2 linked regions of the Drosophila melanogaster genome follow. The protein of the gene in region 2 interacts with the protein of the main gene of each other region in a pairwise test. Each region holds a gene or a part of one and is shown on either strand. Other genes may lie near its edges. The genes, in order: scaf6 and Ccp84Aa.

Region 1 (8,244 bases), on a different chromosome or scaffold from region 2:
CCTCTAATGCAAAGCGCCGTGGAGCCATTTACCAAAGCCCTGAAAACGGTGCGACTTCAGGACCCCGTCATTAGAGTGTACTCCAATGTGGATGGCAAACCCTATCGCCATGCCAAGCACATCCTAACGCAGCTGCCCAAGCAAATCGTGAGGCCCGTCAAGTGGGAGCAGACTCTCCACGAGATGTACGAGCGCAAGCAGGGCGTCGACTTTCCACGCACCTTCGAATGCGGTCCTGGCAAGGGCCTGGTCCAGGTCCTGGAAAAAGTAAATGCCAAGGCCGCTCAATCCAGCTTTAATGTTATAGCCTAATCTTGTATAAAAATTCAGTTCGCTTTTATAAAAATGTATATTTTCTGGGCTAAAGGAAACAAAAAACTGGGAAGTTATGACCGTTGGCAGATCCTAACTCTTGTCGTCTCGCGATCGCATCCGGTGCGCGAAGGCAGCTCCTTTGTTCTTCCGAAAGCTCTCGAAGGGATCGTGCATATTAGCGCCCACTCCCTGTGGATAGAAAATTATAAGTTGTCCTTTCTTGCGCACTCTTGCCACTTCACCTTGTACATCTCTCGACGATCGCGCACCTCGCCTCCCGAAATGGGCGTGTCGATGCCTTGATTCTTTGAGCCCAGTCCAGTTCCCGTGCCCGCCCAACCCATTTTCATGAGCATTTGGTGGCCCTTGTTCGATTCCTCGATGAAATCCGCTGGCTTGGCAAATGTGCTTCCCCTGGAAAAACAAAGATAGCTCATTGGTCCGACTGTCATGAAATTGTACTATAGCCATGATTTACAGAAAGCTCGGAGGTGTTAGAGATCTGTCGCGGTCCACTCGTCTTAGGTTGGTGCTGTTGCCATTGTCTCGGCTATTGGAATTGCCACGATCACCACGGCCCTCTCTGGTATTTGTGCTGCCGCTGTTGTTGTCCCGTTCGTGGCGAGGAGATCGATTGCGACCCTTGCGGTTGTTACCACCGCCCAACCTGCTCCGATTCATCGGTGGCGGCGTTAAAGAGCGCTCCATGGATCGCGAGCGGGATCGGGAGCGAGACAACGATCTATCTCGATGGGGCGGCGTTTTTGAGCGGGAGCGACTGCGACTCTTGGATCTGCGCAAGAAAATAAGTGCAAATATTTCTAGTTTTTGTGTGAAAATTTTTGATGGAAAACCAACACTCACCGATAAACTCGCTTGTTGCTCTTTTTGGGTAGGGGTTTCTCGAGCACAATCGGACTTGGCGACCGCGACTTTTCTCGAATGCCGTCCTTGATTTCCTCTTCTTTTTGCTTTCGCGCCGCATTCTTCACCTTATAGTACTCATAGAGACCAAGCTTCTCCCAACCCTCACTGCAAGATAAGCCCATTTATAAGGAACGCTCAATAACATCAAATTGAAATACTTACTTATCCCTTGGACGATCGTGTGAGGGTGCGGAATAGAAGGCGTTCAATGCATTTGTTAATCGCTCGCTTTGTGGCGCTGGAGCTGGCAGTCGAATGTCCGCCGGATCGAGGGCTTTGTAGTTGTAATCCTCCAGACGAATGAGCGGCACCATGAGGCCCGCTGGCAGGTCGTAGTAAGGCGCTGTGGGTATTTGTGGCTCTCCGATCACAACAGGTTCTCCAGATTCTCCGTCGACCAATTTCTGTGGTTGCTGGCCATCTTCCAATGTTCCGTCTTCGGGTTTGTTGGTTATAACCGCGCGAATGGCTGCATTGAGCACATCCAGATCCACTTCGCTGCTATCAGCATTTTGCTGGCCAGGTCTAACAATATTCTGGGGATAGGCAGCCATTGGCGGCGGCTGCTTTTGCTGCTGCGGTTGTTGCTGCTGCTGCTGCTGCAGTTGGTGCTGTCCTTGTTGCTGAGGGTCGTCAGGATGGTGTTGCTGCTGCATCTGTAAGCACGCCTGAATCGCTGCACTGAGAACGCCAAGATCAACAGGTGGTTCATTGCCAGAACCCGGCGCCTGCATGGGCGGAAACTGTCCCGGTTGTGGCTGCTGCTGGCCCATTGCTGGGCCCTGATTATGATGCATGGGTCCGGGGAAGCCTGGTGGTGGTTTGGACATGTCCGGAATGAAGAAGTTCGGTCCGCGTGGATCCGCAAAGTGATTCCCCGGTGGTGGCTGCTGCTGTTGGAAGTTACCACCTGGATACATATTATTTCCCGCCTGCGGATGCTGCTGATCATGCGGCCCCTGGCTATTCATGTGCTCATGGTCACCCGGCATTGCTATTCGGTGGGACATCAGCGATGGTATGTTCTTCTGCTGATGCTGAAGCATGTGTTGCTGCTGGGACTTCTGGGCCACAATCTGCTGCTCCAGGTGCTGCGCCTGTTTCTCCAGCTGCACAATTTGCTGGCTAGCATGTTGGATAAATACATGATGCTGTTTCTGATAGCTGAAGCATAAGAGTTATGGTTTATTATGTGCTCTATTATGTTCTTGGACTTTTATACTTACTTATCCAAAGTCGCCTTGGTATTCTGCGTGAATTTAGCAGTTATATCATGATGTGTGTTCTGCAGATTGGTTTTGTACTCCTGCATTGACGAGTCCGGTGACTGAAGCTTCGAGATGACGCAGGCATCGAAGAACTTCGCCTTGGACTCCCACAGAGACAGCAGCTTGGCTAGCTTCTGGCGCTGGTCGGGGTTGCCAACTGTGGGCGAGGATAACACTATTAGAAATCCGTAAAGGAATGGATCGAAGTGGAAATACATACTCAAGTCGGCGCTGCAGAACATCGGAATGACGACGTTCTCGAGGCTGTTCTTCAAGTCATTGATGTTCTTGCGCATGCTGTAAATATATCGTTGGACTTAGGTCTCATCTCCTAGCTACTCTAAATGTCAAGGTATGATGTCCGAAGTCCGGTGGTCGGTCAGGTTCAGTCCAATTCTGTCAGCGTAGTCGTCCGCAGAAACTAACCCACAAAGTAGTCTTACTGCTCAGTGGGTTAGTTATTGAGGTCTATGGCCCTTAAATACTATACTATACTAATAATTGACTGGGCGAACTTACCAGTGATGGAGTATATCATTAACTAAATATATAAGATGCAATTTTTGCTGAAACGTTGAACCATTGACCAAAGCCCTAAAAATAAATTAACAAACGAAAAACATATTTTTCTAGTTCTCTGTATGCACAACAACATTGCCAAAAGTACTTGTTGTGCAAGTATAATGATTTTTGTTAGTAAATCTTCTTTCTTTTTGGTATTTGTGTTTTTTTTTTTGGTTTTTTTTTTTTGTCCGATGATTATCACTGTTAAGTGTTGGTGTGTTGTTGTGCGTGTTTATGGTTAAGCTTATTAAGTAAAATGATTTGTTTGGGTGTGTGGCCCTAGCTAAAAGACTTCCGGATCTGGGGACTACTCATATATGATCATAACATCTCTCGAAAACGAATCAACGAATCAATCTCGAGCCTCTCTGTGGAAGTCTCAATCGCACAATCGCTCAATCGATCATCTCTCACTTGTTTGTTCGATATTTCGTATTTCGTTTTTCTATGTTTGGTTAGTATTTCACTCGTTGAAAGAAAGAAACACAATTTAATTAATACATATTGCAGGTCATTAGGTATAAAACTGAGGCATACTTCTTTAAAAGATATTGTAAAACGACATTGATTTTTGCGCTGTCGGTTGAATGCTGTAAAATCCAGTTCTTGCCTAAAATTGCAATATCAAACGGGTTACTCATATTGTCATTGTCCATGGCGATTATAAATTAGGTTTAGGATTAATCAAAAAGTAGTATGGATTCATTTAGTGTGCGCTTTGTGTGCAGCAAAGCTGCGGAGCATCAAAAATTCAGCTCCATTAGCTAACTTATGACTGATTACGAGACTACAAACAAGCAATAATGTAATCCAGCCTGTCCGCTGAACTCGTATTTACCTGCAGAGATGCTGTCCTTCGTGCAGGACTCGATGATCGGCTGCAGAACGCCATCGAAGTCCCTCAGCACAATGCCCTGTTCGCCAGCCATCTGTTCCTGCTGCGCCGTCTGCGCCGCCGCAATTGCATCCTCGATCTGCTTGGTCTTCTGATTCATCAGGGCCTACAGGTTGGTTTCGTTTGGTTGATTGGTGCGATTAGGATCGCAAGCGTTGGTGTGGTTCGGATCGGTTCGGTTTGGTCATTAGGCACACAAAGGTTTGTTCGCATGCATATTCGCATTTTGGGATTCATTTGACAAGCGTTTCAAAACAAATTTGATTTTAGGATTTGTTTTTTTTTTGTTTTTATACAGTTTTGTCAGTTGGTATGAAGAGTGGTTTGATTTGGTTTTTTTTTTTTTGGTTTATGTTTCAAAAAATACAATAAAGCAAAAATTTAATGTAGCATTGTAAATTGTTAATTAAATAGTAAAAATAATGACAAATATAGATTGTAGTTTGATATTGCTGAAAGTACACTTTAACTTTATCTTATCCGCACTTGGAGAACAAGAACTGAGTAGATCGATTGAAAAAACATTTGGAAAAGGGTCGAGAGCAGGATTGATTATTCTGAGGAATTCGTGGATTAGTTTCATAAGAAACAATTTCAAGAGGGAAGTCACTTCCATTACAGGGAAATTCAATAGCGACAAGCAATAAGAAATGTCCTTCTTATTAGAAAGAATTTAGTTCACAGTACTTATAGAGTGAAAAGTCCACAAAAGCAGTTCATAATTATTAATATTAAACACCATTTGATGAACTCTTGTTCCAGAGTTGTTATTACAAAAACTAGGGAATACAAAACTGCCATCTATGAGTCTATGACAATATCTTTGGAAATCATTTAAGTCCGAAAGTATATAAGGGTTATACAAGTTATCTTCTCTCTTAAGAAAATAATTAAAAGCATTCTGGCTTAAAATCGAGGTATATTCACATTCGATTGGGTCGTTTAAAAGGGAGGTCAAAAATTCGAAGAAGCAAACACGTTCTTATATTCAGACTATAAAAGCAACTTTTAGGTGGGTATTTAGTTTAAAAAGGAAACCAATTTGCTTCTTTAAATTTTTGCCAGAGGAGGCCAACATTCAACATGAAATCATATTGAAATCTTTTCTTTATACACTCGAGCTGCTCTAATCTTTCGGAAAAAGGCTTGCAAAGGTGGGCATATAGAGGTATCCCAGTTATTTCCAACTTCAAATTACCGTGTGCTGTGCGGAGAGATTCGCTTCGGATTGCTGGATCTGTTCCCGCAGCGACTTCTGCTGCATCTTGATGGCTTCCAGTTGTGACGTTAGATTCATGGCCATGGGATTGCCATTGGCCTGCTGATTGTTTGGCGGCCCACCGTTGCCGGAGTTCGGCGGCCAGGAGTGCTGTGTTTGCTGTTGCATATTGTCTTGTGCGGTTTCGGGCGGGTGCGGTGGCTGCTGATTGGGTGGCGGATAGAGGCCCGGTGGTTGGGATTGCTGCATTGGCGGCGGATGTTGCATGTAGTGGCCGGATGGAGCACCTGGTGGCAGTTGTTGGTTAATGGCCTGTTGCTTTAGCACTGTATTGGGTGTTAAAAGGAGATTATAGGGGTTATTTTCCACCAATTTAGAACGCACTCACGAGCTTGTTCCGCTGCCACCCTGAATTGATAATAGTTGGCGAACTCCCCGCCGTAGAGGAACTCGAACTTTGGATTGTTCTGCTGCTTCTGCTTGGTTATCGCCTCGAATTCCGGCCCATTTCTGGCCACAAACTCCGCCAGTTTGTCGATAATATTTCGTAAACTGGCATCTGCAAATAGAAAGCAAATGGTTTTTGCAAAAAATGTGAGCATATCAAAGGTTGTGCGTGCGCTTGTTTGTTTGTATGTGTACACATGTGCATGCCAATCGACTTGGGCACAAAATTAGCTTGATTTTAAGTTATATTCAGCACTTTTTAATTGCTGCACTTACCGCGTGGCGGTTGCACGTCCATTTTGCGACTGTTATTAGCACTATTATCCTATGTAAAATACTAAATTCATAACTTTTTGCACTTTTTCAGCGGCACTTTTCACTGCTTCTTCTTGTTTTTTCCGACAGTGTGCCCATATCTTTGTATTCTTAGAACGACATGTAGTCAAATACTAGGAGTTACTCTCGGCACTACTTTTTAAGTAGTTTTTAGCGCTTATCATACGCTTTTTTGAGCAAAAAAGCGGCTTAAACCTTTATCGCTGCTCATTTGTTAAATGTATTTATTGCCAGTAGCAGAAGTTCCAATTAGAATGACGGTGGTAGCAGAGCTGCCAACTTGTTCCACGTTATACCGGTCTCTCTTCTATTATTACCACAACGTGGCAACGCCGCGCGTCTATCTCAGTTCTAAGCTGACAAAAATAGTTTATTTGTGGTAAACAAACATTTAGCCAGGGCAATTTGCACCCAACAGAAATCTCCACGCCGGCCCGTGATTAATGCAGCATCCGAGGAGGCATGACAAATCCGCACTTTAAACCGACAACTCCGCGGACAGCGTGGCATTGAATTACACGGGCTCCCTGGAAATATAATCTTGAAATAGCCACTATATAGTGTGTATATGTATATAGACACATCCGCTAGCAGCAGAATGACCGATAATAAGGGGAGCGTTATCACCATTAATGGCGGCGAATCGGCGGGAAACTCGCCGCCCTCGCAGCGGAAGTCCTCGACGTCGGAATCTCCGCCGGAACTCCGTATCCTTTGCTTTGACCTCACCTACTACAATCGCACAACTCAGTTCCTGCTCAGCTGCGCCGGCGTCTTCTTCCTGTACATCCTGTACGGCTATCTGCAGGAGCTGATCTTCACCGTCGAAGGATTCAAACCCTACGGATGGTTCCTCACGCTCGTCCAGTTTGGCTACTACATCGGCTTCGGTTTGGTGGAGCGGCGGCTGGAGGGCTATCGGATAAGCGGCGGTTCCTTTTGGAACATTGAGCCGGAGCCACGTTGCATTCCCATGAGAACATACCTAATTCTGGCTGCTCTCACGCTGGGTACCATGGGTCTGTCCAACTCAAGTCTCGGCTACCTGAACTATCCCACCCAGGTGATTTTCAAGTGCTGCAAGCTCATTCCCGTGCTGGTGGGCAGCATCCTCATACAGGGCAAACGCTACGGACTGCTGGACTTTGCGGCAGCCACCTGCATGTGCATCGGATTGGCCTGGTTCACGCTGGCCGACTCCCAGATGACGCCCAATTTCAATCTGCTTGGTGTGGCCATGATTTCGGGAGCGCTGCTCTGCGACGCAGCCATTGGCAATGTCCAGGAGAAGGCGATGCGGGAATTCAAGGCGCCCAGCAGTGAGGTGGTGTTCTACTCATACGGCTTGGGTTTTGTGTACCTATTTGTGATTATGCTGGTTACCGGCAACTTCTTCAGCGGCTTTGCATTCTGTTTGGAGGTGGGTAACATTTGAGGTTTATGATGTAAGAGATCTAAAGTGTATTATCCATTTAGCATCCCGTTGAGACCTTCGGCTATGGCTTCCTCTTTAGTTTGTCCGGCTATCTGGGCATTCAGTTTGTGCTGGCTCTGGTGAGGAGTAGTGGTGCCCCCATAGCTGCCACAGTGACCACCGCCCGCAAGGCTGTGACTATAGCCTTCTCCTTTGTGCTTTTCAGCAAGCCCTTTACCTTACAGTAAGTACTATTCTGTGTATTTCTAAAGACAAAGCTCTATTATACCTATCCCAAACTTTCAGATATCTGTGGTCGGGCCTCATCGTTGTCCTGGGCATATATCTCAATGTCTACAGCAAGAGGAACAAGCTGACGTTGGCCGACGTCCGGCAGAGAATAAAGCAATTTGGAGCCAAGGTTGCCCGCTCACCGAGTCGCAAATTCCTCATCGAAGTTTAGAACGATACCAAAAACACTCACATTTTAGTTGAATTGGAAGCATGGGTTTTCTATAAGAAAACCATTAAATATAATTACTTAATTACATTCTAAACAAACTATGTGCTATCTGTCCATGTCGAACTCCATTACGCGCTTGAAGAGATCCTGGCGCTCCTTGGCGGAGGTTATCTGACCCATGGTGCGGTCCAGGAACTGTTTTTGGTGCTTGACTATGAACTTGTTGCATTGGATGATGGTGGCACCAATGTACAGCGTCCTAAACTTGGCCCGTACATCTCCGATCTGAAAGAAATGTGGTTTTATAGCTGGTTTAAGGACATGGCAATGAGACCAACCAAAGTAATCAATGGCAATACGCTGGACACGAAGCGTTGGCCTCGATGGAGACAGCGT
Region 2 (3,152 bases):
TTACTTATGAAGGTCACTGCATCTCAGCAGTCAAAAAACCGAACTCATTCATAAAACTAAGCTGTTTGCGTTTGCTTGAACATTTTGAAAAGTTTGAACAATCACAGCAAGTTTCATAGATACATCATTTCTATTTAATAATTCTAATTAGTATGATTCTATACGAGTTTTTTGGAAGTGTACTATTTGTAGTCAGTCTATTCTATTGTTTAAATACAAAAAATTAATGGTAATAGGTACGAGCAAAGAGGGGAATGGGAAAGCCGGTCACTGAAGTTCCATTTAGCAAAATCAAATCGAAATCCGGCAAACGAAAAAATCGTTTATATTATATATCCGTTAATTGCTTTTATAAGCACACATGAATATTTCACACCGATCTGATTATGATTTATTATTCGTTGATAGGATTGGCCAACGTCCAGACCCGAATCGAACATCATAGATATCTCAATGGAATGGAGCGATTGAAAGAAAAAATTCAATTTGACTTTAAAACTTTGGAATTTTGGAATTTGGAATTTCAATGTCGCAGCCTAATTCAATTAATTGGCCACACAGCCACTCTAATTTAGCCCTCACGAAGCAAAAGTAATTACAATAAATTGTATTGCTTCGTGAATCGAATTGAGCCCCAGGAAATACATATCCTTTGGATAGGATACAGTGATATAACCTTTTTAAATGTGAAATATATTTTTATATATATAGAAGTCGTTCGTAAAACTATAACAATAAAGAGCTGGGCAATGTGGAATGTCAGTTCTCAGGGGTGGTAGGCAACAGCGGGGGCGGCGTAGTGGGTGGGAGCAGCATAGGTGGCATATGCAGCGGGGGCAGCATAGTGAGCCACTGGGGCCACAGTCTTGACCACAGCAGGAGCAGCGTAGTGGGCAACTGGAGCCACGGTCTTGACCACAGCGGGAGCAGCGTAGTGGGCGACAGCAGGGGCGGCGTATTGGGCAACGGGAGCGGCGACGGTCTTCACAACGGGGGCAACGGCGACGGCCTTGACCAGGGGCTCACGGTTGACAACGGCGTTGAATCCGTTGATGGGATCGGCGGTGTACTGGACGATCCTCTTGTAGCCGTCAGCGTCGATCAGGGAGTACTCTCCGCGTACCACATCTCCATCGCGCTCCTCCACCTGTCCCTTGTTGTCACCGGTTAGCTTGTCATCGACTCCGTAGGAGAAGCGGTACTGGGGGTGGGGGTCGTACTCCTCGGCGGCCTTGACCACGACCTTCTGGGCGACGGCCACGGGGGCGTGGGCGTAGGTGGCCACCGCTGGGGCAGCGTGGTACACCTGTGGGGCGGCGATGGGGGCATAACCGGCGCTGGCCACGGCGACGAAGGCGAGGGCGAAGACAAACTGGGGAACATATTCGTTAGAGAAACGGGTTCTGGTGGGATACCACAGGACTCACCTTGAATGCCATTTTATAGGGTTTTTGGATTCGTGGGTTAGTTCTTTGCGGAAACGGTGCTGATGGCTGAATGATACGGTTTCTGGCCGGCCAGCGGTTTTATAGCTCCCGCTTGCAGTTTCTGCTCAGGTGAAGCAAGGTGCTTACGCTTGGCCTTCTGAATATCATGCTCCAAATTAGCGCGAAGTCACCGCTCTGCGAAGTCAACGGCAAAGTCGGCAGAGACGCCGGCAGAGAACCAAGAGAGGAGAAGGGATTTGCGAATGCGAGATGCAGTCCAATTATTTAGAAAGGATTCGGCGGATTCGCGCGGTGCCCACGTTAAAATTGGTAGTTGGGAATGGATTGCATCTGCTAATAGCGTTTCGATTATCCAAGATATTTTAAGGATGGGATCGTGGATGTCTGGTGGGTGGCCTTGATTCCCACAGACTTCGCAAAAGGGCATTTATTTTGAATGAAGCAGCGATTTTCTATATATTGTACAAAAATAATGCATTGTGTAATATATTTTTAACGTTTATGTTCTAAGACCCATAAATGCCAAACTCTTAAATGTGTATCTGATAAATTATTATCTGAGTGTAAATAGAATGTTAGGTATTTAGATGTAGCTAAGTAGTTGTGTTCCTTAGGACACTAACGCAGACCCAACTTAGCTTTTAGTTTTTAGAACCACAGTTTTTGTAGTGTCAACCAATTTCAAAAAATATTAATCTTTTTTCAAGAGTTTTTTCTTATCCAGCACAGTGTAAAGTTCATTCAACTCTTTAAGATTGCAAATCCGTTCGTATAATTATAATCATATATGTATAGAGTATTTAAAGAATATCAATCAGATTGCACAGTGAACTCTAAAGATTCGAAAATCTTTAAAAAAACCTAATCAAAATTTTGCGATTTGCTTTGTAAGAAAAAAATATATGATCAGTATATCTTCTTAAAGCGATCTTATACAGCGTTATATAACAAAGTAATTAGCCACACATTGCGGCCGGCAAAGCCCTTTCGGTATTACGCAAACCTTTCCCCAAAGATCTTTCACTCTTTCGGTGCTGACGGGTTTAGAATCTGTGGCCACAAGCATTTGCACACCCACTGAGCTTAGCGCCACGAACAGGAAGTACAAGTTATTGCCCGACAACAATCGCAGTCGAGAAGCATTTAATATATTTCGCTGTCACCGCGAAAATAACACGTGCTGTCGGCGTATTGGGCCAAAGCAGAGCAGAGCTGGCAGCTTGATTTACTATAAAAGTTGTCGATCGGACACAGAAAAGTATCATTCGCAGATCCAGTTCACTTCTGTAAAGAACTACCAATCAGCACTCCTAGCAACATGGCCTTCAAGGTGAGTCATCTCGATGGAAATCCGGGATCAACTGTATACGAAATTCCGGTTGGATATCTAACGCTCTTGAATTTAGTTTGTCTTCGCCCTCGCCTTCGTCGCCGTGGCCAGCGCCGGTTATGCTCCCATCGCCGCCCCACAGGTGTACCATGCTGCCCCAGCGGTGGCCACCTACGCCCACGCCCCCGTGGCCGTCGCCCAAAAGGTCGTGGTCAAGGCCGCCGAGGAGTACGACCCCCACCCCCAGTACCGCTTCTCCTACGGAGTCGATGACAAGCTAACCGGTGACAACAAGGGACAGGTGGAGGAGCGCGATGGAGATGTGGTACGCGGAGAGTACTCCCTGATCGACGCTGACGGCTACAAGAGGACCG

The links.
Region 1: the proteins of Ccp84Aa (region 2) and scaf6 interact in a two-hybrid assay, tested with the Drosophila melanogaster proteins (one large-scale study listed by BioGRID).

What each region holds. Positions count from the first base shown.
Region 1 is NT_037436.4:17,036,527-17,044,770, forward strand, and holds scaf6 (SR-related CTD associated factor 6), read right to left. Parts: upstream 6,049-8,244; 5' UTR 5,934-6,048; coding exon 5,912-5,933; intron 5,748-5,911; coding exon 5,577-5,747; intron 5,515-5,576; coding exon 5,168-5,514; coding exon of another isoform or gene 5,159-5,167; exon of another isoform or gene 4,408-5,158; intron 4,076-4,407; coding exon 3,913-4,075; intron 3,685-3,912; coding exon 3,612-3,684; intron 3,105-3,611; coding exon 3,030-3,104; intron 2,808-3,029; coding exon 2,731-2,807; intron 2,668-2,730; coding exon 2,469-2,667; intron 2,407-2,468; coding exon 1,405-2,406; intron 1,348-1,404; coding exon 1,180-1,347; intron 1,109-1,179; coding exon 794-1,108; intron 730-793; coding exon 558-729; intron 505-557; coding exon 406-504; 3' UTR 333-405; downstream 1-332. Other genes in the region: beg (bad egg), read left to right, coding at 1-312; Papst2 (PAPS transporter 2), read left to right, coding at 6,540-7,391, 7,448-7,629, 7,692-7,848; POP5 ribonuclease P/MRP subunit, read right to left, coding at 7,954-8,133, 8,187-8,244.
Region 2 is NT_033777.3:6,702,434-6,705,585, reverse strand, and holds Ccp84Aa (Ccp84Aa), read right to left. Parts: upstream 1,503-3,152; 5' UTR 1,440-1,502; coding exon 1,428-1,439; intron 1,373-1,427; coding exon 767-1,372; 3' UTR 683-766; downstream 1-682. Other genes in the region: Ccp84Ab, read left to right, coding at 2,767-2,778, 2,855-3,152.